3 linked regions of the Macaca mulatta genome follow. The protein of the gene in region 2 interacts with the protein of the main gene of each other region in a pairwise test. Links are inferred from orthologs where the notes say so. Each region holds a gene or a part of one and is shown on either strand. Other genes may lie near its edges. The genes, in order: RAD51D, CEP57L1 and KATNAL1.

What was found.
Region 1: the proteins of CEP57L1 (region 2) and RAD51D interact in binary tests that used the Homo sapiens proteins (3 or more experiments, as listed by UniProt). The two-hybrid records come from large-scale screens. The link is inferred for Macaca mulatta from reciprocal best matches to the Homo sapiens genes CEP57L1 and RAD51D.
Region 3: the proteins of CEP57L1 (region 2) and KATNAL1 interact in binary tests that used the Homo sapiens proteins (3 or more experiments, as listed by UniProt). The two-hybrid records come from large-scale screens. The link is inferred for Macaca mulatta from reciprocal best matches to the Homo sapiens genes CEP57L1 and KATNAL1.

The regions. Positions count from the first base shown.
Region 1 is NC_133421.1:44,626,155-44,634,331, forward strand, and holds part of RAD51D (DNA repair protein RAD51 homolog 4), read right to left. Parts: intron 2,981-8,177; coding exon 2,899-2,980; intron 2,655-2,898; coding exon 2,520-2,654; intron 2,014-2,519; coding exon 1,918-2,013; intron 1-1,917. UniProt on the Homo sapiens protein: Involved in the homologous recombination repair (HRR) pathway of double-stranded DNA breaks arising during DNA replication or induced by DNA-damaging agents. Bind to single-stranded DNA (ssDNA) and has DNA-dependent ATPase activity.
Region 2 is NC_133409.1:14,266,356-14,274,177, reverse strand, and holds part of CEP57L1 (centrosomal protein CEP57L1), read right to left. Parts: intron 4,812-7,822; coding exon 4,734-4,811; intron 4,619-4,733; coding exon 4,374-4,618; intron 3,262-4,373; coding exon 3,117-3,261; intron 1,103-3,116; coding exon 881-1,102; 3' UTR 1-880. UniProt on the Homo sapiens protein: Centrosomal protein which may be required for microtubule attachment to centrosomes.
Region 3 is NC_133422.1:10,103,752-10,111,928, forward strand, and holds part of KATNAL1 (katanin p60 ATPase-containing subunit A-like 1), read right to left. Parts: intron 6,208-8,177; coding exon 6,080-6,207; intron 5,689-6,079; coding exon 5,583-5,688; intron 1-5,582. UniProt on the Homo sapiens protein: Regulates microtubule dynamics in Sertoli cells, a process that is essential for spermiogenesis and male fertility. Severs microtubules in an ATP-dependent manner, promoting rapid reorganization of cellular microtubule arrays.

The sequences.
Region 1 (8,177 bases), on a different chromosome or scaffold from region 2:
CAGAGATGGGGTTTTACCATGTTGGCCAGGCTGGTCTCGAAATCCTGGCTTCAAGTGATCTGGCCACCTTGGCCTCCCAAAATGCCGGAATTACAGGCATGAGCCACCATGCCTGGCCTGGTGCCATCTTTCTAACCATAATTTTCTGTCTTTACACAAGAAGGAGCATCCTCCTGGTTTCCCTGGACTTAAACTGTTTTTGATGCTTCTTTTGTCTTCTCCCTTACTTCTTATATCCTGATTCTGGTTCTTTTTCTTTTCTTTTCTTCCTGTCTTTCTTTCTCTCTCTCTCTTTCTTTCCTTTCTTTATTTCTTTCTTTCCTCTCTTTTCTTTTCTTTCTTTCCCTCCCTCCCTTCCTTCCTTCCTTCCTTTTCTTTTTTCAGGGTCTTGTTATGTTGCCCAGGCTGGTCTTGAACTCCTGGGCTCAAGCGATCCTCCTGCCTTGGCCTTCCAAAACATTGGGATTATAGGCGTGAGCCACCGCTCCCAGCCTCAGATTCTTAACCCCTAGAAACTGTGAGATAAAAAATCCAAGTCTTAAGCCACCAAGGTTTTGGTAACTTATTATGCAGTAATAGAAGATATACCATCTAATGGTCCTACAGTAAAAAAATACAGTCTTCTGATCTGGAATTGAGAGATTTGGGCTATACGGTTAGTTCTTGTCCTAAATATGTGGTCAATTTTGGTCAACTCACTTCACTTCTCTGGCCTTCACTCTTCTCATCTCTAAAAGTGAGATCAGCACTACTCAGCATCATGTCTCAACAAACTGGTGGGTCATAACCAGCTATGACTTCTGAGAAAAGTATTTGTTCAACTTTTTTTTTTTTTTTTTTTAAAAGACGGGGTCTAGCTGTGCTGCCCAGGGTAAGGTACAGTGGCATGATCATAGCTCACTGCAACCTCCAACTCCTGGGCTCAAGCAATCCTCCCGTCTCAGCCTCTGGAGTCATTAGGATTACAGGTGTGGGCCACCACTTCCAGCTTGTTCAACTATTATATGTTCTAAAGTTTGTAAAAATCGTTGACTTTATATATAGTTGCGGGGATGCCTGTGCGAACATGTCGTGCTTTGGGGTGAGAGGAAAAGTTTGAGATGAACTATTCTATCTTTAAGGTATCCTCCACATCTAGTCATTTATAAATCAGTGCACCAAATCTTGTCTAAGCATCCAACATGAATAGCAAAGTACCAACCCAAATGCCATTCTAAATCCTCCCCATTAACACGACTCTGAATGTGTTTGGGCACTGGGCAGAAATCTGACTTCAGGGATAGTGGGCCCAGGCCTTAGTCCAAGATACACACATAACTCCATTTTGGCCAACTAGATGTAAGGGGAAGAGGGACATATTAGTGGGCTCTGGAGAAAGATTCTTCATCCCTGATAAAAGGGAGGAGGTACAGAAAAGAACCATCTATCTTTTACTGCTTTGAATATGGATGTGGATGTGTGAAGACAAGATACTTGGAGCTTCGGCAGCCTCTTTGCAACCGTGAGGGGAAGAACAAGAAAATCAGACACACCAACTGTTGCCCCGATAGCATGGACCTGCTAACCTCCAACTCATGTGACATAATTAAATGTCCTCAAGGTTCAAGTCTCTGTCAGACAACCTCTATTACTTGGCAGCTAAAAGTATTCCTCACTCACCTAGTGGGGAATGCAGAGATAAATATGACATGATACTTCCATTCAGGGGGCTTTACTGTTCAGCAGGGAAGATGAACATGTAAACAATGAGGTATGTGATTTAGGCGCTTGGGAATTCCATCCTGGGAGTAGCAAGCATAGTTGGAGTCACCAAATTGCACATCTGCATTTCTAAACAGTCTGTAGTAGGACACCGGCCCACAGAGATAGCACCTGGCAAGCTGAGTTAAGCAAGGAGGGGCAGAACAGCAGGCTCACCTGCTGGGCCACAGTGCCTCGGAGCTCCTGCAGCACATCCAGCATCTGGAAGATGTCAAACGCATGCACCACCTGGATCCTCTGGAGAGCTTCTGCCTGAAGGGGTGGAAAAGAGAAGCAAGGGCTTTGGATAAGAGGGAGTAGGGGGTCGAGGTAAGGCTGAGAAGGAAGAGGCACCTGGATTCAAGGATTCAGGTCCAGGGTGGCAAATGAGCTTTGTCTAATGGGCCAGTTGTCATGGTGGTGGCTGCCTGGGTGCTGAGCTGTAAAGTACTCAAACTCAGGAGGAAAGAGGGATATGACTGATTAGTGATGCTTCTCATGGGCGAGAAATGGACTGGAAACACAAAGCTCGGTGTTTACCAGCCCTGGTTTAGGGCATGCACAGAGCTGGGAGGGTTTTCTGGAAGAATCGGTGCGAGTAGCATCCCAAATAGGATGATGGTATCAACAGGGGTGGCTTAAGGAATACGGGATGTATTAACAGAACAGCAAGTTTGAAGGCAAGGAATGACTATTCAACCCAAATTCTTACAATGTTAAGGGGTAATGGGGTTTTCTTGTGTCAGAATCTCAATGGAACCCAGCATCCTGCCCCTTACCTGTTCCTCCTCATCCTGGGTTTTAGTCTGAAGCAGCTGGAGGAGGCGGGAAGCTGTCAGCCCTCCATTAGAATCTACATACAGGATGTTTTGCTGCAGGCCATGGGCCACATTTGCTGCCACACATAGACATACCTGGGGGTGGGGGCATTGGATGAACTTGACACTTCAGAGAGGGTCCAGAATGGGAGCTCCCCACCAAACCTTGCCCAGATTCCAGCAACACAAATGCGCTGAGTCCAAGCCCCATTCCTCATCACCCATCTTCTCTCTGTTGGGCTCTGAACTCATCAGTATGCTGAAGCTCCCCCAGGGATCCTGGGCTATGCACCTACCACCCTCACCCTCAAATCCTCCTGACTGCGGGCCTCACGTGTACCTGAGTTTTGCCGCTACCTGGGCCTCCTACAATTTCAGTCACTTCTCCAGTATAAAGACCAGCATCAAGCAGTTTGTCCAGGCTGATGGCAAAAAAGAAGAAAATCAACACAAGAGGTTAGTAGGAAGAGAGGGGAAAAGGTACCAAGAAGAAAAGTAAGACATTCCTTTCTTTTTTTTTTCTTTTTTTTTTTTTTTTTTTTTGAGACGGAGTCTCGCGCTGCGTCACCCAGGCTGGAGTGCAGTGGCGCGATCTCGGCTCACTGCAAGCTCCGCCTCCCAGGTTCACGCCATTCTCCTGCCTCAGCCTCCGAGTAGCTGGGACTACAGGCGCCCGCCACCACGCCCGGCTAGTTTTTTGTATTTTTAGTAGAGACGGGGTTTCACCATGTTAGCCAGGATGGTCTTGATCTCCTGACCTCGTGATCCACCCGCCTCGGCCTCCCAAAGTGCTGGGATTACAGGCTTGAGCCACCGCGCCCGGCCAAGACATTCCTTTCAAGCACTGGTTCTGTCTTTGAACATCACTGGCCAGGAGGCTTCTCCTGATGTTTTCTTCTGGGAAAGAGGGAATGCCCCAATGTTCCTTCTCTGGTCTCTCTTCATCCCTCCATTCTTAAAGATCAGCTTTCCAGAGAGGCCTCTTCACCCCATCAGAAGGTCCTCCTTTCATTTTTTTTCATCTCAGGCCCTGTGGGTTTCCTTTTATTTATTATTATTTTTTTTGAAATGGAGTCTCTCTCTGTTGTCCAGGCTGGAGTGCTGGAGAGCAGTGGCATGATCTCTACTCACTGCAACCTCCACCTCCCAGGCTCAAGTGATTCTCCTGCCTCAGCCTCCCAAGTAGCTGGGATTACAGACGCCCGCCACTATCCCTGACTAATTTTTTTTTTTTTTTTTTTTTTTTTGAGACAGAGTCTGGCTTAGTCGCCCAGGCTGGAGTGCAGTGGCGCGATCTCGGCTCACTGCAAGCTCCGCCTCCCGGGTTCACGCCATTCTCCTGCCTCAGCCTCCCGAGTAGCTGGGACTACAGGCGCCCGCCGCCTCGCCCGGCTAATTTTTTGCATTTTTAATAGAGACGGGGTTTCACAGTGTTAGCCAGGATGGTCTCGATCTCCTGACCTTGTGATCCGCCCGCCTCGGCCTCCCAAAGTGCTGGGATTACAGGCGTGAGCCACCGCGCCCGGCCTCCTGACTAATTTTTTTAATTAGAGATGGGGTTTCACCATGTTGGCCAGGCTGGTCTCAAACTCCTGACCTCAAGTGATCCACCTGCCTCGGCCTCCCACAGTGCTACAATTACAGGCGTGAGCCACCAGGCCCAGCCGTTTGTGGGTTTCCTTGATAGCATTTCCCAAAATTTGTGTTTTTGTTTTGTTTTGTTTTTAAAAAAACTTTGATGGTGGCATGCACCTGTAGTCCTAGCTACTTGAGACGCAGAGGCAGGAGAATCGCTTGAACCCAGGAGGCGGAGGTTGCAGTGAGCCAAGATCGCGCCACTGCACTCCAGCCTGTTGACAGAGCAAGACTCCGTCTCAAAAAACAAAACAAAACCAAACAACAAAAAAAAAACAACTTTGAGATAATTATAGATTCCCAGGAAGTTGCAAAAAGTCCATGAACCTTTCACCTGGTTTCCCTTAATAATAACAATTGTACTACAAAATGTATTGTACTAGTCAGGGGCCTATAGTCCCAGTTACTTGGGAAGCTAAGGTGAGAGGATCACTTGAGTCCAGGAGTTCAAGTCTAGACCAGGCAACATAGCAAGACCCTTTTCTCCTTAAAAAAAGAAAGAAAGTACTATAGTATATCACAAGTAGCAAACTGATGTTGGTACTATCCACAGAGCTTATTCAGATTTCACCAATGTTCCTAGCATTCAAGCACGTACGATGTGTCTAGTTCTGTGCCATTTTATCACATATGTAGATTTACACAACCGCTATAATCAAGATACAGAACATTTCCATCACTATAAGTCATCCTCCTGCTACTCTTTTATAGCTACATTCCTCCCAGTCACCCCAATCCCCAACCCCTGACAACCACTAATCTCTATTATGTTATTTCAAGAACAAAGTTATGTACATAGAATTATACACTATGTAACCTTTGTGATTGGCTTTTTTTTTCCTTTTTCTTTTTTTTTTTTTTTTTTTTTGAGACGGAGTTTCGGAGTTTTACTCTGTTGCCCAGGCTGGAGTGCAGTGGTGCAATCTCAGCTCACTGCAACCTCCACCTCCCAGGTTCAAGCAATTCTCCTCTCTCAGCCTCCCGAGTACCTGGGATTACAGGTGCCCACCAAAACACCTGGCTAATTTTTGTATTTTTTAGTAGAGACGGGGTTTCGCCATGTTAGGCAGACTGGTCTTGAACCCCTGACCTCAAGTGATCTGCCCAATACAACCTCCCAAAGTGCTGGGATTACAGACATGAGCCACTGTGCCCGGCCCTGCAATTGGCTTTTGTCACTCAGCATCATTCCCTTGAGATCCATCCCAGTTGTTGCATATATGGATAGTTCATTCCTTTTTATTGCTAAAAAGTATTCCATGGTATGGATGTACCACACTTTATTTAACCATTCATCCACTGAAGGCCATTTGGTTGTTTCCACTTTGGGGCTATTGTGAATAAAACTGCTATAAAGCATTTTTTACAGGTTTTTGTATAAACCCAAGTTTTCACATCGTTGGGATAAATGCCCAAGAATACAATTGCTGGGTGGTATGGTAAAGGCATTATTAATTTTATAAGAAACTACCAAACTATTTTCCAGAGTGACTATGCCATTTTACATTTCCAGTAGCAATGTATATATGAGTAGTCCAGTGTTTCCACATCCTCATCATTTGGTATTATCACTATTTTTTTATTTTAGTCTTTCTGATAGGTATGTAATAATAGCTCATTGTGTTTTTAATTTGTATTTCCCTAATAGTTAATAGTGTTGATTTTTTTTTTTTTTTTTGAGACGGAGCGTTGCCTAGGATGGAGTGCAATGGCATGATCTCGGCTCACCGCAACCTCCACCTCCCGGGTTCAAGCAATTCTCCTGCCTCAGCCTCCCGAGTAGCTGGGATTACAGGCATACGCCACCATATCCAGCTAATTTTGTATTTTTAATAGAGACGAGGTTTCTCCATATTGGTCAGGCTGGTCTCGAACTCCCAACCTCAGGTGATCAACCCACCTTGGCCCCCCAAAGTGCTGGGATTACAGGCATAAGCCACTGCACCTGGCATTTTTTTTTTTTTTTTTTTGAGATAGGGTCTCACGTCTCACTGTGTCACCCAGGCTAGAATTCAGTGGCATGATCACAGCTCACTGCAACCTTGACCTCCCAGGCTGAGGTGATCCTCCCACATCAGCTCCCCCAAGTAGCTGGGACTACAGGCATGTGCCACCACACCCAGCCAACTTTTGTATTTTTTTGGTAGAGACAGGGTTTTTGCCACGTTGCCCAGGCCAGTTTTGAACTCCTGGGCTCAAGCAATCCAACCACCTCAGCCTCTCAAAGTGCTGGGACTACAGGTGTGAGGCAGCCCTTGCCCATTTTCTAATTGAATTGTTTGATTTTTTACTGTTGGGTTTTAGGAATTCTTTCTCCATTCTAGATACAAGTCCTTTGTTGAATACATGGCTTGCAACTATTATTCTCATTCTGTACTTCTCTTTTCATTCTGTTTTGTGCAGCAAAAGTTTTTAATTTTGATTAGGCCCAATTAATCAAAAATTTTTTCATGGATCATACTTTTGGTGTCAAATCTAAGAACACTTTGCCTAGACTTTCTCCTGTTTTGTTCTAAAAAATTACACAATTTGGTTTTACATTAAAGTCCACGATCCATTTTCAGTCAATTTTTATATAAGGTATAAGGTTTAGGTTTATTATTACATATTTTTAACCTACGATGTCCAATAGCCCCAGCACCCTTTGTTCAAAGGCTGTCTTTCCTCCATCACGTTGTTTTTGTACCTTTGTCAAAAATCAATTGTGTGTAATCCCAGCATTTTGGGAGGCTGAGGCGAGAGGATTGCTTGAGCCCAGGAGTTCGAGGCCAGCCTGGGCAACATAGTGAAACCCTGTCTCTACAAAAAAATACAAATAGGCTGGGCGCGGTGGCTCATGCCTGTAATCCCAGCACTTTGGGAGGCCAAGGCGGTCGGGTTACCTGAAGTCAGGAGTTCGAGACCAGCCTGGCCAACATGGTGAAACCCCATCTCTACTAAAATACAGAATTAGCTGGGCGTGGTGGCATGCACCTGTAATCCTAGCTACTCGAGAGGTAGAGGCAGATGAATCAAACCCGGGAGGCGGGGGTTGCAGTGAGCTGAGATCATGCCATTGCACTCCAGCCTGGGCAAAAAGAGAGAAACTCCAGCCGGGCACGTTGACTCATGCCTGTAATCCCAGCACTTTGGGAGGCCAAGGCGGGCGGATCACCTGAGGTCAGGAGTTCAAGACCAGCCTGACCAATATGGAGAAACCCCGTCTCTACTAAAAATACAAAAAAAATTAGCTAGGCCTGGTGGTGTGTGCCTGTAGGAGAATTGCTTGAACCCGGGGGGGCGGAGGTTGCGGTGAGCCGAGATCACGCCATTGCACTCCAGGTCAGGCAACAAGAGTGAAACTCCATCTCAAAACAAAAAAAGAGAGAGAGAAACTCCGTCTAAAAAAAAAAAAAAAAAATACAAATACAAATAACCAGGCATGGTGTCCCATACCTGTAGTCCCAGCTACTTGGGAGGCTTGGGGTGGAAGGATTGCCTGAGCCCAGGGAGGTCAAGGCTGCAGTGAGCTGTAATAGCACCAGCACCCTCCATCCTGGGTGACAGAGCAAGACCCTGTCTCAAAAAAAAAAAAAAATTAGTTGTATATACTTGTGGAGGTCTATTTCTGGGTTCTCTACTCTGTTCCATTGATCTGTGTCCATCTGTCCCTTGGCCAATACCACACTAGGCTTAACTGTGTAGCTATATAGCAAGTCTTAACCCTGGGTAGACTGATTCCTCCAACTGTCCTTTTTCCAAATTGTTTTAGCTAATCTAGGTAAAATTGGTCTTTCCGTAATTATTAGAATAAGCTTGCCTATGTCTATTAAAAAAAAAAAAAAACCCTTGCTGGGATTTTAATAGAAATGGCATTAAATTACAGATCAACTTGGGGACAATTGAAATCTTCATTATGTTCAGTTTCCCAATCCATGAACAAAGTACATGTCATCCATTTATCTGAGTCATCTTTGATCTCCTTCATCAGCAATTTAAAATTTT
Region 2 (7,822 bases):
TTTTTTGACATTATTGATTTTAAAATATAAAAAATTAAAATATACCATACTACCCTGAATTTCTGCTGGATGAGGTAATTTAATGTCCAGCTTCCTCTTCCTCCATACTTTCTTGTAAAAAAAAATACCACTTTTGTGGGTCCTAGAAATTCAGTCTCAATTTATACTGATGGACATTACATATAATGCAAAGAATAGAAGTCAGCAAAAGTTATAAAGTAGTAAGATAAAATGGATCATTATTTTTTTTAAAAAAACTAGTTTTGTAAAAGAGAATGGGAATAGCAGATGAAAACTTCTGCAACTGAATTACTGTCTCCTAAAAATTAAGTAGCTATGGGTTCCTATTGTCTCATAAAACTTGGATTAAAGGCTTCTTCATAAAACTGTCTAATTGTTAAGCTTTTCCTTTTCCAAAAGAGAAAAACATTTCACAGCTTTAAAACAAAATAGAAAGAAGACACCAGGAAAGCTAAATGATCTTTCTGAACTCTGTTCATTTAACATTTGTTTTTAAGGTTGCAAACCTATGAAAAGTGGAATGAATGGTACTTGTAGCTCAGATTTAACTCAATTTTGAATATTGTCAATCTAGTACAATTTCTCAAATTTAGCTTAAGATATCTGCAAAGCAAACAATGTTTCTAAGACAAGATGAGGTTATAGGCTTCAATCAATAAGAAAAACAAAAAAGCAATTAATTTATTATTTGGAACCCAGTAGGTCATTAGGCATTAATTTAAAAATACTGCAACTTCATGTCTTATAGAAGCTAGAAACATGATTCAAAATGTCACAAAGTTATATTAAATTAAAACCACTTTAGACAATTCAAGGTCTCATTGACAAAGTTCATTAAGGTGACAGTTTTGCTATTTTGTTACTGTTCCCACATGATATCATCTCTTCTCAATTTCATTTGAAGATTATGAACTCGTATTGGATGAAAGCTGCTGTTTTTCTGAAAAAGTTTAGTGTCAGTCAAACATTTTCTGGGGCTATTTTTTATGTTCTTTGATCCTTTAGGGTTGCTGTCTTCTTGCTGAATACCTGAAGCTTCACTCATCTTTGAGTTTTGAACTTTTTGCTGCAGTTTACGGACCTGGAGAGAAAAAAAATCTAACATTTTAGTCAAAAATATACTAAAAATATATTCCAAAATAGGTTGAATTGATGGTTTAAAGTTAAAAAATTAAAATTGAACATTAAAAAGTTCAATTCGGTAAGTTTTTAATTTATTGAACATCTATTACATGCCTAACACTGTGCTTGTCAGGTAGAATTATAATGAAGAAAACAGTTCTTACTTTCAAGGAGCTTACTGCTCCTATTAGTGAAAAAAAGCATATATGTGACAACTAGAGAATACAATGAACCAGGATAACTTTGAATAAGACAAAAAGTGTATATGTAAGAAGCCCAAAGTAAGATAAGGTCAACGTGGGCTGCAGAGACTGGGGGGAAAGGTTGTATGTAAGATAACTGGTAAAAACCAGAGAACAGAGAGCAGAGAGAAGAACTTTTCTGGTAACATTAACAGCAAATCTAATAATTGGTTCTAGGAATGAGTATCAAGTTTTGAAAATTATACATACACACACGTGTGTGTATGTATGTGTATATATATGTGTGTGTGTATAAATATGTGTGTTTTTTTTAACTGCCATTCAGGAGTACTTTAAATTCAGGAATACCTTTGTGTACAAATACTTTTGTATATTCCTGAATTTAAAGTACTCCTGAATGGCAGTTTAAAAAAAAGTCAAGGGAATAACTTTATCACCTTGAGTAGTATATGGTAATAGTGGAGGCAGACAGAATTAAACAAAAACAATACGTATCAACCAGCCAAAACCCATTTCTTCAAAGTCTAACCCATTACTTAATCTGTTTCACTTGAGCATAGGTCGAATTTGTAGAGCTGACCCAGACTTTGGGTGAGTACCTAGTTCTCTATTTAGTTAATAATCAATTTTTATTACAGATATTACATTTATCATAATAAAGTGCTTAAAATTTATACTGGTATAGCTATTATGGAATATATATCATGTTTTTCAAAATATAGTATATATATACTAGCTGAGTTTTAAAAATGATCATTCTTCTATTCCTTTCAAGTTTCTCTTATGCAATTTCAAGAAAGTGTACAAGTTGTATAATCTTCACTCCAAAACATACAGAAATTTTTACTTATTATAGCCTTAAAAGCCAGTAAAATAAAAATATTTGTTTTAAAAATGTCACTTCTTTCTTTCTTCCTTTCTTTCCCACAATAAGAATAAAAGTAATAATATTCTGCATCTTTTATTACTTTCCTATAAAAGGCAGGGAGGCTTATTTGTGACATTCATATATCATTAACTTATATGAATGATGATTTTGTCCATAGGCAGATGGCTACATGAGGTGACTTGAGGGTTCCTGGGAAAGGCTCCCTCTGCCTTCTGCTCCAGCAGTGTAATAGTGCTGCAAGTTCAACCTACGGAGTCATTGTCTTGGAATTAAATATTATATTCCATGATTTTTCTGTTAAAATAATAAAACTGTTAGCTATTCTTAGTTATTACATCTTAACAGAAGTATAGAGTTTTCCTCACCATCCCTGTCCTACTCACTATAGCTAGCTGAGTATAGGTCCCCAGGGAATGGAACACAACACAGCCTGTTTTGGGAAAGAGGAAATCATGCTTTAAGGACTGGGGCACTGCTTAGGAGCCAGGTTTATGTCTGGTAGTGAATAAGAGACCTGCTGACATAAGGGGTATCATTAAAGCATTAGAGGAGAGAAGGAAGAGGAAAAAGAATGCTAAAAGGGTAATTGGAGGGCTGCTAAGGCAAGTTTAGTTTACCTCACAATTTCCCCAAAGCAATTTCTGAATACATAACTGAACCTATTTGTTCACTTAAAAAATTTTAACTTGGAGAGTTACGTAGGAGGTCCATGTTATTCCAGTGGGACAGATGGCTCTATTCTGTCATAGGCCTAAGTGACTACCATCCATCTTTTCACTAAATCCCATATACAGACCTCAAATTTGGAAAGTCGTACAGAGATACAACACTGAATCCACATTTTATCTTTTTATTAAAATCTCTTAGTAAAGCCTTCTTACACTGTCTTGATGCTTCTTCAGTTTGGAGATTTGTTCTCCTTTAATTTCCATTTTCTTGACTAAACACTCTAGTTCACATTCTATGTCGTCACAGACTGAATGGCTTTCAGTTTCCTTCATTTGTTTCAGTAGTTCTTGGTGCTCCCTATGAAAGAATAGCAAATATTAAGCACTACTATAGTTTATTGCATATATGTCTTTGCCATAATTAAGCAATTTTCTGTTCAATCATAAATTTTAGTCAGACTTAAATATTAACCTTTAAAAACAGCATCTTTCTTTAGGGTTGTTTAATTAAATCTACAGTAACTATAACCAGGCTCCTGTGATTTGAAATTAAATACCTTTACAAATATCTTAAGACTGCTAAGCAACTTTAAAAAATATGTGAATTCCTGATGCTCATAGCTCAATGTAGTAAAATGTGTGATGTCTTTAACAGAGGTATTAAAGGGCTTTCTTCCTCATTATTGATATAGGATCTTTGGAAGAATTCCAGCTGTGGAAGTATTTGCCTGAAAAATTTCTGGATTTGGAGTTAGCCTACTGAAATGCTGTTAACAGAAACAGCTGTATCTTCTACAGATGTCTTAGGTCAACTAGCTGGTCAGCCAAACCACATAGTTCTGGAATTTCTATTGAATATATATTTAAGCAAGTGGGCACAATATAATGTATCCCATATGGAAATCTTCCTTACTATAGATGCTTCAAAATCTGTAATGCAGACCAGCCAGAGTCTAAAACAAGGAATTACATTCCTACTTGTCTAATTAAATAATTCATTCAGCTAAAAGATTCTAAAACACAAAAGGAGAGCTTTTCTTATAAACGCTTTTGTGAGTTTTAATCTAAGGTCATCAGATCCTATATGTTAGAATGACAGTAGTAGCTATCAGTCCAGATCTTGGGAATACAGAAATACCTTAGAATGAAAAAGTAGTAGTTATAAAGAACTGAAATTTTAAATAGTAACAAATACAATGAAAAATAGTGACAACAAATCTTTCCAAATGGCTAAGTAAGGCCTTTAAGAATTTATAAGTGGTATTGTTCTTAAGACTAAGAAGAAAAAGTGATATGGTACTTCTCCTGATAAAGAATAAAAATTGCTGGCCAGGCACGGTGGCTCACGCTTGTAATCCCAGCACTTTGGGAGGCTGAGGCAGGAGGACTGCCTGAAACCATGAGTTCAAGACTAGCCTGGGCAACATAGCAAGACACTGTCTCTTAAAAAAAAAATATATAAATACTTACATGCTCATTTGGTCCAGCTCATCTTGCATTGCCATCAAAAGTTCAGATAAATTGTCACAAATGGAAATGGACTTTTCTGAGTCACGAGGAATAGCCTTACACCAGGAAGTTGTTCTAGAAGGCCTGGGGAGACATCTAGTCTCAGCCACGTTAAAAGGTTTCTGAAGGATATGTGGGCCACGATGTTGCCTCCTCTGCAAAAGGTTTTGCATACTTGCATTCACAGAACAGTTTGCACTGGTGGACTTATGGGAAAAGAAACAACTGAGAATAATTTTAAATGACTGAAGATATTTTAATAGCACTTACAATGAAACAGGAATTTTTTTGAACAACTATCTTCATTTTATCCCCTCTCACCTTTTCAGCCACAAAAGGCAGTGCTCCAAACTTTGAACAAATTTGCCAAGGTGGTCCTCTCTTTATACATTTAGTTTTCTAGAGATTGACAAGAAAAAAACATAAATAAGAAATTATTTTAAAAGTTATTTATGATATGAAGAACTCTCAAAACTCAACAGAAAACAATGCAACTGGAAAATGGGCAAAAAGACATGGACAGAAATTTCACTGACAAAGACATATGTATGGCAAACATATGAAAAGATATTCAACATCATTAATTATGGAAATGAAAGTTAAAATTAGTGAAATATCACTGCACATCCATCAGAATGGCCAAAATAAAAAATAGTGACAATACCAAATGTTGGCAAGCATGCAGAGAAAATAAAACCACTCACATATTGTTGGTGGGAATACAAAATGGTACAGCCATTTTGGAAGACAGTTTGGCAGTTTCTTATAAAACTAAAAATGTACTTATTACATGACCCAACAATTGCTCTCTTAGGCATTTATCCTAGAAAAATGAAAACTTATGTTCACATAAAAACATGTATACAAATGTTCATAGCAGCTTTATCTGTAATAGCTAAAAAATTGGAAACAATCGAAATATCCTTTTTTTTTTTGAGACAGGGTCTCATTCTGTCACCCATACTGGAGTGCAATGGTACAATCTTGGCTTACCGCAACCTCTGTCTCCCAGGCTCAAGCGATTATCCTGCCTTAATCTCCCAAGTAGCTGGGATTACAGGTGTGTGCCACTACTGCCCGGCTAATTTTTGTATTTTTAGTAGAGACGAGGTTTCACCATATTGGCCAGGCTGGTCTTGAACTCCTGACCTCAAATGATGCACTCGCCTTGGCCTCCCAAACTGTTGGGATTACAGGCATGAGCCACCATGCCGGACTCCAGATATCCTTTAACAGATGAACAGTTAAATTGTGGTACATCTGTAATGCGGAATATCACGCAGAAATAAAAAGGATGTATTGATACATACAACAACTTGGATGGACCTCAAGGGAAAAAAGCCAATCTCAAAAAGTTACATACTGTATAATTCCATTTATATAATAATATTGAAATAATAAAATATACAGATGGTGAACAGATTAGAGGTTGCCAATGTTCAGGGAAGGGGATGTGTAGCTATAGAGGGATTGCATGAAGGAGTCTTTTAGTGGTGGAAGAGTTCTGTATCTTGATTGTTGTGATAGTGACATGAATCTACGCATATGATTCTCTCATAAAATCTACACATGTGATTTCTCTCTATGTAAAACTCTCCTACTGCTGTAAGTTACCATCTAAAATTACAACTCTAATCATGTCCCTACTTTTCTCAGAAGCCTTCAATAGTTCCTGTTTATAGAATAAAAGTTCAAACTCTTAACATGGCATTCAAGGTCAGCCATTAGCTCACCCCAAGCTGTATTTTCCACTTTAACTTCCACTATGATCTCATCTCACCCCCAATACTGGACTATTACTTATAGGTCCCTGGAAAAACCAACAATTCCCTCAGACTGTAATATATTTTTCCTTATCTCAGTCTGTCAATATTTAATTCTTCAAGGCTTCCTTTAATATTGCTTCTTGCATTACCTTTCACATATTCCTTTGTCTACATAACACCACAACACTTTGTTTAAACCTCTATTAATCTTCTATTATACTGTTTCATATTTATATATTTATCTGTTTCTCACAAATTCCTGTCCAATTTTTTTTATCACCTAGAGATACCAGTCTATGTACATCAAAATGTAAGAGTTGAATGAACTATGTCCAGGACATGGAGAAACAGTGTGATAGGAAGCAGGTCTCTCATAGAGGCTTCCTGAAATCTAATCCTACTTTCAGCAACTTTAGCACTTCCTCCGTCTTTAAAAAGAGACACCATTATTTGCATACCCTGTGAACTTGGGATTTGAACTAAGTACTTCCATGAAATGATTCTGCTGTTAATACTCTCTTCTCTTCCAGGAGTTACCTTTTCTTTCCTTCATTTCTTTTATCTTCTTCCTGCACCTTCACTATTTTTATAATAAATAGGTAAACTGAAAAAAAGTTCCATTAACTCATCAGAGAAAGGATGCCATAAAACATACATACTGGGCAGTATGTGTTCCACTGGCAAATTACTTACAGTGATTTTTCTATTTGGTTTTGTAGCTGTGAATCTCATTGCACAAACAAGACACAAAACAAATATTTAGGAAAGGAAACAGGCAAAATAAGTCATATTGGGAAAATATTGTTCGTTATTATAGTTTGAAAATTCTTTAAAATGAAAAAATTATGAAAAATACAGCCCAAGTATTGAACATTAATTTTTACTTATGTAATAAAAGAGTAGCCAAAGTTAAGTATAATGTTCTCTCCATTATTTTATCCACAAGCTAAGCATATGGCAGTGGCCAGAATTCCCAAATAGCATCTCCTGTCTCCCACAGCAAATGACACAGAGCAACACTCACTCCATTCATATCTGAATAAATAGTAATAATGGCCATCAAAACCATAATTCCAGAATCATAAGATTAAAAGGGATTAAAAACTTTTTTCATACCATTATATATAATTAAGAAGGGTTACTTGAATAGAATACACTCAAAACATCAATTCATCTAAACAAAATATTGGTCTATAAAGTACTAACTCTCCAATCCTTACTTTTAGGCAAATTCACAAGAAATAAGCATAGAAATTACATATAACAATAAATTCCCTATATAAATGACTTTACAGACTTAACAGGTGTATAAGGAAAACCCTTATTTTTTTATTGTGTATATACTACATAAAACTGCTTTCAGGATCTATTATTTTTTCAATATCTACTGTGTTGTTTAGTGCCTCTTTTATAAAGTATCACAAAATATATTTCTCCAGAAGTTTAGAAAAACGTTAATCTTTCTAGAAAAACTGGAGTGCTTCCTGTTATTTCACAAAGATAGTGATACTGTCCATTATATGTTCCTTTCTGGTTTGGTTGTCAAGCAAACTGAGAGCTAAATTTTGTACATGACTGCTGCTACTTTTTAAAATCTGAATATTATGAAATTTTCTGTCCTTATACCCCAAACCATCATCCATT
Region 3 (8,177 bases), on a different chromosome or scaffold from region 2:
TGGTGCCTGCACCCGTTCAGCTTCTAGTGATGGCCTCATGCTGCTTCCACTTATAGAGAAAGGTGAAAGGGAGCCAGCAGCTTGCAGAACTCACATGGCAAGAGCAGAAGCAAGAGAGAGGGGCAACAGCCACTTCTCATGAGAATGAACAGAGTGAGGACATACTCATTACCACAAGGTCGACACCAAGCCATTCATGAGGGATCTGCCCCCATGGCCCAAACTCCTCCCATTAGGCACCACCTCCCAACACTACCACATCAAGAATCAAATTTCAACATGAGATTTGGTGGGACAAATAACCAAACCATATCCAAACTACAGCAGTACTATCACACGTCCATGTGATGCCATAATCTCCATATTGTCACACTTCCAGGAGAGTAAAGCATCCTGACTCCAGGAAGAGAGGGCGAAAGAAGCGTCACCTTGCGCATCCTTCTAGACCTCGCCCTGTAAGTTTCTCCTTTTGGCTGGTTCCGATTTATATCCTTTGGCTATAATAACAATATCATTGTAAGTGCAGCTGCTCCCTGAACGACTCAGGGGTTGGGGCACCAATCCCCTACACAGTCAAAAATCTGCATATAATTTTTGATTCCCAAAAAAACATAACAATGAATAGCCTATTGTTGACTTGAAGTCTTGCTGATAACAAAAACTGTAAACACGTATTTTGTATATGTATTGTATATTGTATTCTTACAATAAACATAGAAAAAAGAAAACATTATTAAGAAAATTATTATAAAAATATATTTATTATTCATTAAATGTAAGTGTGTCACCTTAAAGGTCTTCAGCTTGGATAGGCTAAGGAGGAGGAGGAAAAGGAGGGGTTGGCCTTGTTGTCTCTGGGGCGGCAGAGGCAGAAGAAAAGCCATGTGTAAGGGGATCCGCGATATTCATGCCTATGTTGTCCTGGGCTCGACTGTAAGGCCTCCCTAAGTTCTGTGAGTTGTTCTAGAGAATTATCAAACCTGAGAGGGTAGTGGGAACCCCTGAATTTGTAGCCAGCTGGTTGTAAGAGTGACCCAGGGACCCCCAGGCTTGCAGCTAGTGTCTGAAGTGAGGGCAGTCTTGCGGAAAACTGGGCTCTCAACCTGTGAAGTCTGGCCCAACTCTAGGTAGGTCATGTCAGAAGTCATTCAATTCAAGCCTGGAATCTGGGAGTCATACAACTTGTCTCTCCCACATCCCTGTAAACAGTCAGTCACTTATACCTTCTAAACATCTCTCACAAATCCATTGATTCTTCACTAACCAAAAAGCCCATGCCTTTCTACAGGTATCTGTCCTCATTGTTTGGCTAGATTATTTCACCAGCCTCCTGATGAGATTACTTTTTCATGTCCATCTATGTCCATCCCCAACCTATCCTCCATACTGCTACAGAAACGATATCTTCCTACACTTGCAAATACCCTTCTACTAAAAACTCTTCAGTGGCTCACTGACATCTTTGGCATGGCATGCAGGGCTCTTCGTGAGAAGTAGGTCACACCAACCACTCCAGCAGTGTCTTTTGTTACTATGTCCCATATAAACACTCTATCCTTCCAGCCACACTGAACTACAGAAGATTCCTCACATATACTATGTTCTCTTACACTTTTCATGTGTTTGTACATGATATCCACTCTGCCTTAGAGCCTTTCTTCATCACATCTACCTGTTTAACTTCTATTCATCTTTCAAGTCTCAGCTCAGAGTCACCTGCTCTGGGAGGCCATCCCTGATATTATTCTCCACAGCAGACTAAGTCCCTCCTCCTCTCTCCTGCCATAGCAGTGAGTTCATTACTCTTTCAGACACTAGTCACACTGTCCTCAACAAATACTGCACTTAACACATGGCCTCCATTAAACACATGCTTATTCACCCAAAGACCATGAGCTTCTTGGGGGCTATTATTATTCACTCATTTTGGTATCCTCCGCACTTAGCCTATCACGTGACACAAGGTAAATACTCAATAAATATGTATTTACCCAGTGTAAATGTATCCAATGCTTACTAAGTACTAGGCCCTGAGGAAAAAAAATTGAATCTATCAGGAATCACACATAAATCCTCAAGAGACTTTTAATCTATTAGAAAATATAGATAGATAAATTATGACGCAGTCTAAGAAGTGCTAAGATAGGCTGGATGATAAATGGATAGATGGCTAGAGTCTCAATGTAAGAGTGATTCAAGCATATGTTTATACTTCAGCCACTGAAAATACAGTAGTCTATTTCTTGGGCATCTCCTTATTTTCTAAGTAAAATTTTAAATGTTGCCTTTATAAAAATCATATAATCTGATCTTAAAACTTATAAAGAAGGACCTCGCTATTATTCTGTTACAGAAAAGTTCATCCCAGAGATACATATTTTTGAAAAGGCACTTAATATCTCCGTCTTTAACTTCTCTCACAAGCTTCAGCCCTGTATTTCTTTTTTTTTTTTTTTTTTTTTTGAGACAGAGTCTCGCTCTGTCCCCCAGGCTGGAGTGCAGTGGCGCAATCTCAGCTCACTGCAAGCTCCACCTCCTGGGTTCACACCATTCTCCTGCCTCGGCCTCCTGAGTAGCTGGGACTACAGGCGCCCGCCACCACATCCGGCTAATTTTTTATTTTTAGTAGAGACGGGGTTTCACCGTGTTAGCCAGGATGGTCTCGATCTCCTGACCTCGTGATCCGCCTGCCTCAGCCTCCCAAAGTGCTGGAATTACAGGCGTGAGCCACCGTGCCCGGCCGGCCCTGTATTTCTAACTTGGTGCATTTCCACGTTAATATACCAAAATTTAAAACTCAAAAATAATTCCATATCTTTTCCCCCAGAAGCACCCCCTGCTCCTACTGAACTTTCAACATCAAGAACAATAAACCAGCGTCTTTCTCCTTCCTGAGCTCCACATTTATGTTATCATCACTATTCTGCCACAGACAAAACCCAATTATCTTTACCCCTGCCTTCTTCTTGACATATATATTACATCCAAAAGGTTACCAACTTCCTTCAGTAAATATCACTAGCATCTGTCCTTCCATTCCTAATTCATAATCACCATCCTAATTCAGGCTCTTTGAATTTTAAGCCTAAACTACTGCCAATCACTTCTGAACATGCTCTTTGCCTCCCATCTTTCTGTGTTCATTGCAACCAGACTGTTTTTTCCAACTCACCAGTTTAATTATGCTACCTACCTGCTCAAAGACGTCTCCCAAACATCTACAGAAAAAGAATAGAACTCCTGGGAAATAGTCTGGCCTCAACCTACCTTCCCATTGGAATCTTCCACTAATTTATGTTTTCAACATTTACATAATTCTACGGCCTCATTAACTCATTTTAACCTCACTATATCCTATGAGATAACTATTAGTATTCCCATTTTATAGATAAGGAAAGTGAGGCATGGAGAAGTTCCATAACTTGCTCAAGATCACAGAATAAGTGGAAATGGTTAGAATTCGTATGCACCCAGTCTGGATCCAGGATCTGTGCCCCTTACCAATATTCTATGCTGCCTTCCTTACAAAACGTCAACGCATCTATTCCCAAACACACTTACACTTTCTCACTATATTCCACTGCTCACATCATTCATCCCCCTCAAGTTCCTACATCTCCAAAATGTCTCCTCCAACACAGTGAAATCCTCACAACCCTACAAATTGCAGCTTGAATCCCACGTCCTCAAGCATAAAGCCTTCTCTAATCATGTCATGTTTGTGCTTTGCTGAGCTTTCCAAGCACATGTGGACTGTACCACCCATTAGGCTCTGCTAGTGCCTAATGCTGAAAGCGATCTGTAACTGCCCAACTCTCTGTTTAGGATGTCTCACAGCTCAGGGACTCTGTCTTGAGAAACAAGGAACCTTACATATAACAGGGCTAAGTAAATGCCTGAAGAATAAAGGAATGGTATCACACAATGCAGACGTGTGCTATGGAGGGAAAGGCACATATAAACATAGGAAGCTGAGACACATTGAATTTTAAATTTTCTAAAGGTCTATTATGGTTGTCACAACCTATTTGGACTTCAATTTTCTAGTCTGTCAAATAATGGGGATTTAAGATGATCTCAAAGACTCATTCCAATTCTGAAATTCTGGAATTTACGTTTTGAGACAAATTTTATAAACCTGAAAAATTTCTAAGGTCTCCTTATTTTCATGTATTCTTTAAAATACATTTATCAGGCTTGAAACAGTGGCTCATGCTTGTAATCTCAGGACTTTGGGAGGTCAAGGTGGGCGGATCACTTGAGGCCAGGAGTTCAAGACCAGCCTGGCCAACATGGCAAAATCCAGCCTCTACCAAAAATACAAAATTTAGCTGGGCGTGGTGGCACGCACCTGTAATTGCAGCCACTCCGGAGGCTGAGGCACAAGAATCACTTGAACTTAGGAGGCAGAGGTTGCAGTGAGCCAAGATCATGCCACTGCACACCAGCCTGGGCAACAGAGTAAGACTCAGTCTCAAAAACTAAATAAATTTATTGTCCCATTTTAGTAAATAATCCATTCTCACAAATCCCTAAAAAATTCAAACACGATTTTTAAAAAAATAATAATAGTTCTAGTCAAGAATTTTATTCTACTGTTGCAGAAAAAAAATTATTTGGTCAGGAAAAAGATTCTTTAGAAATATATCTTATTTTCTTAAGCCAGTTTGCCAATAAATACTACAAAAGCACAGCAAGGACAAAATAAATTCATAAAGTCAGATATTCTGTAATGATATAAGAAGTGGTTTTTTTTGTTTGTTTGTTTGTTTGTTTTTTTGAGACGGAGCCTGGCTCTGTTGCCAGGCTGCAGTGCAGTTGCACGATCTTGGCTCACTGCAACCTCCGATTCACGGCTTCAAACAATTCTCCTGCCTCAGCCTCCCCGAGTAGCTGGGATTACAGGCACGCACCACCATGCCCAGATAATTTTTGTATTTTCAGTACAGATGAGATCTCACCATGTTGGGCAGGATGGTCTCGATCTCCTGACCTCGTGATCCACCCTCCTCAGCCTCCCAAAGTGCTGGGATTACAGGGGTGAGCCATGGTACCCGGTCAAGAAGTTGTTTTTTAAAACACAGCTAAAGACCTCTCTTTAGAAAAAACATTTGTGAAAACTCAAAATATAGCAAATGTAGTCTATAAAACAGTCAACAATGAGCTTCAAGTCAGTGACAAGTAAAACAAAATAACCATCAATGAGAAATATTCCAACTTTTGAAAAATAACTGTTTGATCATACCTTTATTCTATAAGACTATGCATTATTTCTGCTTAATCTGCTTAACTTTTTATTTACAGAACCATATACCTAGAAAATTCTTAAAACTAATCTCTAGCTCAGCATCCCTGAGGGAAGTGACCTAAAGACTATATAGTTTCAACACTCCAAGCCCATCTCTCCTACTATGCAGATGTAACACATCACAATACAAATTCAAATCCAGGTGTTTTGGGTGTATATAAACTTCTCCCAACCTTTTCAAAATGGGTTAAATACATCAAAAATACAGCAATGCTGCCTTTCATTCTGATGCAAGCAGCATTCTTATACCAAAACCAATTTAAAAAATTCTCACCTTCCATGGCCTTCTAATCCCTTTGAAAAAGTCAGGCATCCACATTGGAAGAACAACAGCTTCCCTTAGCAACTTCTTAGCTTCTTCCAGATCTGCTATGTCATCCCTTTGAAAGAAGAGCAAAGTTTCATAATGTTTATTCAGGGATCTTTGATTTATGGTCAAACCTAATTCTTCTAATTTTTTTTACTTATGAAATTGTTCTCATATTAAGAACATTAGTCTAATTCTTACTGCATAAAAACATCAGTGAAAACATTAGTTATTAATGAGGACATGTCACTGAATTAACAACTTTTGTCAGTTATATATCAACTTCAAATTAACATGTAAAATGTCCTGGTTACATTCGACAGAACTCTCCCGTCAATTCTATACTTTCACATTACAGAGGTGGTCATAATCAGATTAATGAATAACAAGAGAAAACTCACACCAAGCCAACCTATAACTTGTGTTCTCCTCTACTTTAATTCAATAATTTCAAAGACTCTAACCAATGAATGCTAGGATTCCTGGATACAATGTCTCTTTCAAGGGCTTCCACCAGGTCCTTATCATAACCAGCACCATCAAATTTTGGCATTTCACCATCACTTGCACCGTCTTGCATATTCTTCCTTCCCTGGGGATAGGTATAAAAAAAAGTACTAGTCAGTAACTGGATAATTTAGTTAACATCATTACGCTTTGAAAACATTATAATGCCATCACTTTCAAAATTTTATTATTTTAAGGTAGTATTTTCTGATTACTCAAATGCCATTCTCCTCTATTTAATTCATCAGAAATACATGAACTGGTCAACTTTATTAAAAACTTCAAATCTACATTCTTGCAGGGACAGTTGCAGGTAAGACTAAACATCCTTGCTAGATCCCAAAAGACTGGGAAAGCCTACCTTTGAACTAGTAGATGCAGAAGATTTCCACCACTACTAGAAAACATTTTGAATATTAATGTAGAAGGATCTTTTTAAATGGTATTAAGACCATTAAAGCAATATGCTTTCCCCAAATTCTTCATTTAATAATATAGTTGTTTTAAAAGGAACTATATGCTATGCTTTCTATGGGGTTCTGCCAAGATTTACACAGCTTTGAAAAGCTTTAAATGAAATTTACTTATTTGCCAGAGACAGTCCAACTATGGAAATACTTCAGCAAGCATAGCCAAGTGCCTCCCCAGAGCTTTAGCCCCAGTTACTGCCTACAGTAAAAATGAAACAAGAAAATGGCCAAAATGAGTCAATCTCCTAAACTTCAACCTCAAAAGAGACAAAAGAACAAGACAAACTTCTCTAATCTCACTTCTGAAACAGTCAAAAAAGGCTCAATCATAAGTGCTGGGAGGAAACTAAATGGCTCCTTTGGATAGATGCTCTGGTTCCTTTAAGCCACTAGGTAAGTGACCAAACGGTATTCTGGTACTTCACCCAAAAAAAACACAAATTATTTCTGGGCAGTATGGCAGTAGTATTACATTTATTAGCAAATTTTCAGGAAGATTCTTGCATTCCAGATGACAGATATCAATATTGACACTATTAAAAGGAGTAAATTTTTGGCACCTACACAACAAATACATCAACATACTTAAGCTTAGGCTAGAGTCACATTTTATAGTACGGACAGGCCAAGGCTACCAAGTCATATGCAAACAACAAATCACTAGGAACTTTCTGTAATCATTTTAAAACTATTCTAGAAATGTATCAACAAAGGATACAACAGAAACTGACATATCTGGAGCTTGAGCCTTCATATGGCATTGTAATTTATATTTACATAGTTAAAATTTCATTTTAATATGAATGTCCAGGTGGCCGGAAAGAACTTAATAAACACTACATCAGGAGAAAGAAAAAGCTGCATGCCTATCTGAAAGTAATAGCAGTATCACAGGATTTTTTGCGCATCTTTTACGTGCAACACATGTTATTGCGTATCAGGTTTTAGAGCAGTGAATGAAAATACATTATCTGCCCCCATCAAGCATCTAGTCCAGAGGGGGAAACAAACAACAATAAAGCAAAAACACACATAAACTGTGAAGTGCTGTGAAAAAACCTGAGCAGCCAGGATAGATAAAAGGTATTACACAGAAGAAAGAGGTTGAAGATATGGGCAGAGGTGAGTTTGGATTTCTTCTGGCTCCTATAGAGGATGGGGTAGAGGAGGAGAATCTAAGAAGTAAAAGCCTCTCACTACGCAGAAGGAGAAGTGTGTGTATAGGCCAGTTAAATGACCTGCCCGAGAACCCAAGGTTTCTCAGTGGTACACATGAGACTTGAATACAGATCGAGTACCACAAACAAGATTCTGGAAATGTTTTCAAATCAAAATGGTGAGGTTATAAAAAACAGACTTAGGAAAACTAAGATAAATTTGGTCATACCAGGAAATCAGTAAAATGAGTGACAGTTATTCTTCATAACAAATACTTAAATTAGAATATAGACGTCAAATATAAACAGCTAGATTAAACGCAACACCTAAAGGAAACTATGAAAGGCAATAAAGCTAACCTCCCCCATGATATTATTAAGTGTACATAAATAATACTAAGTGCAATGTCACTGAAATGATCTTACAA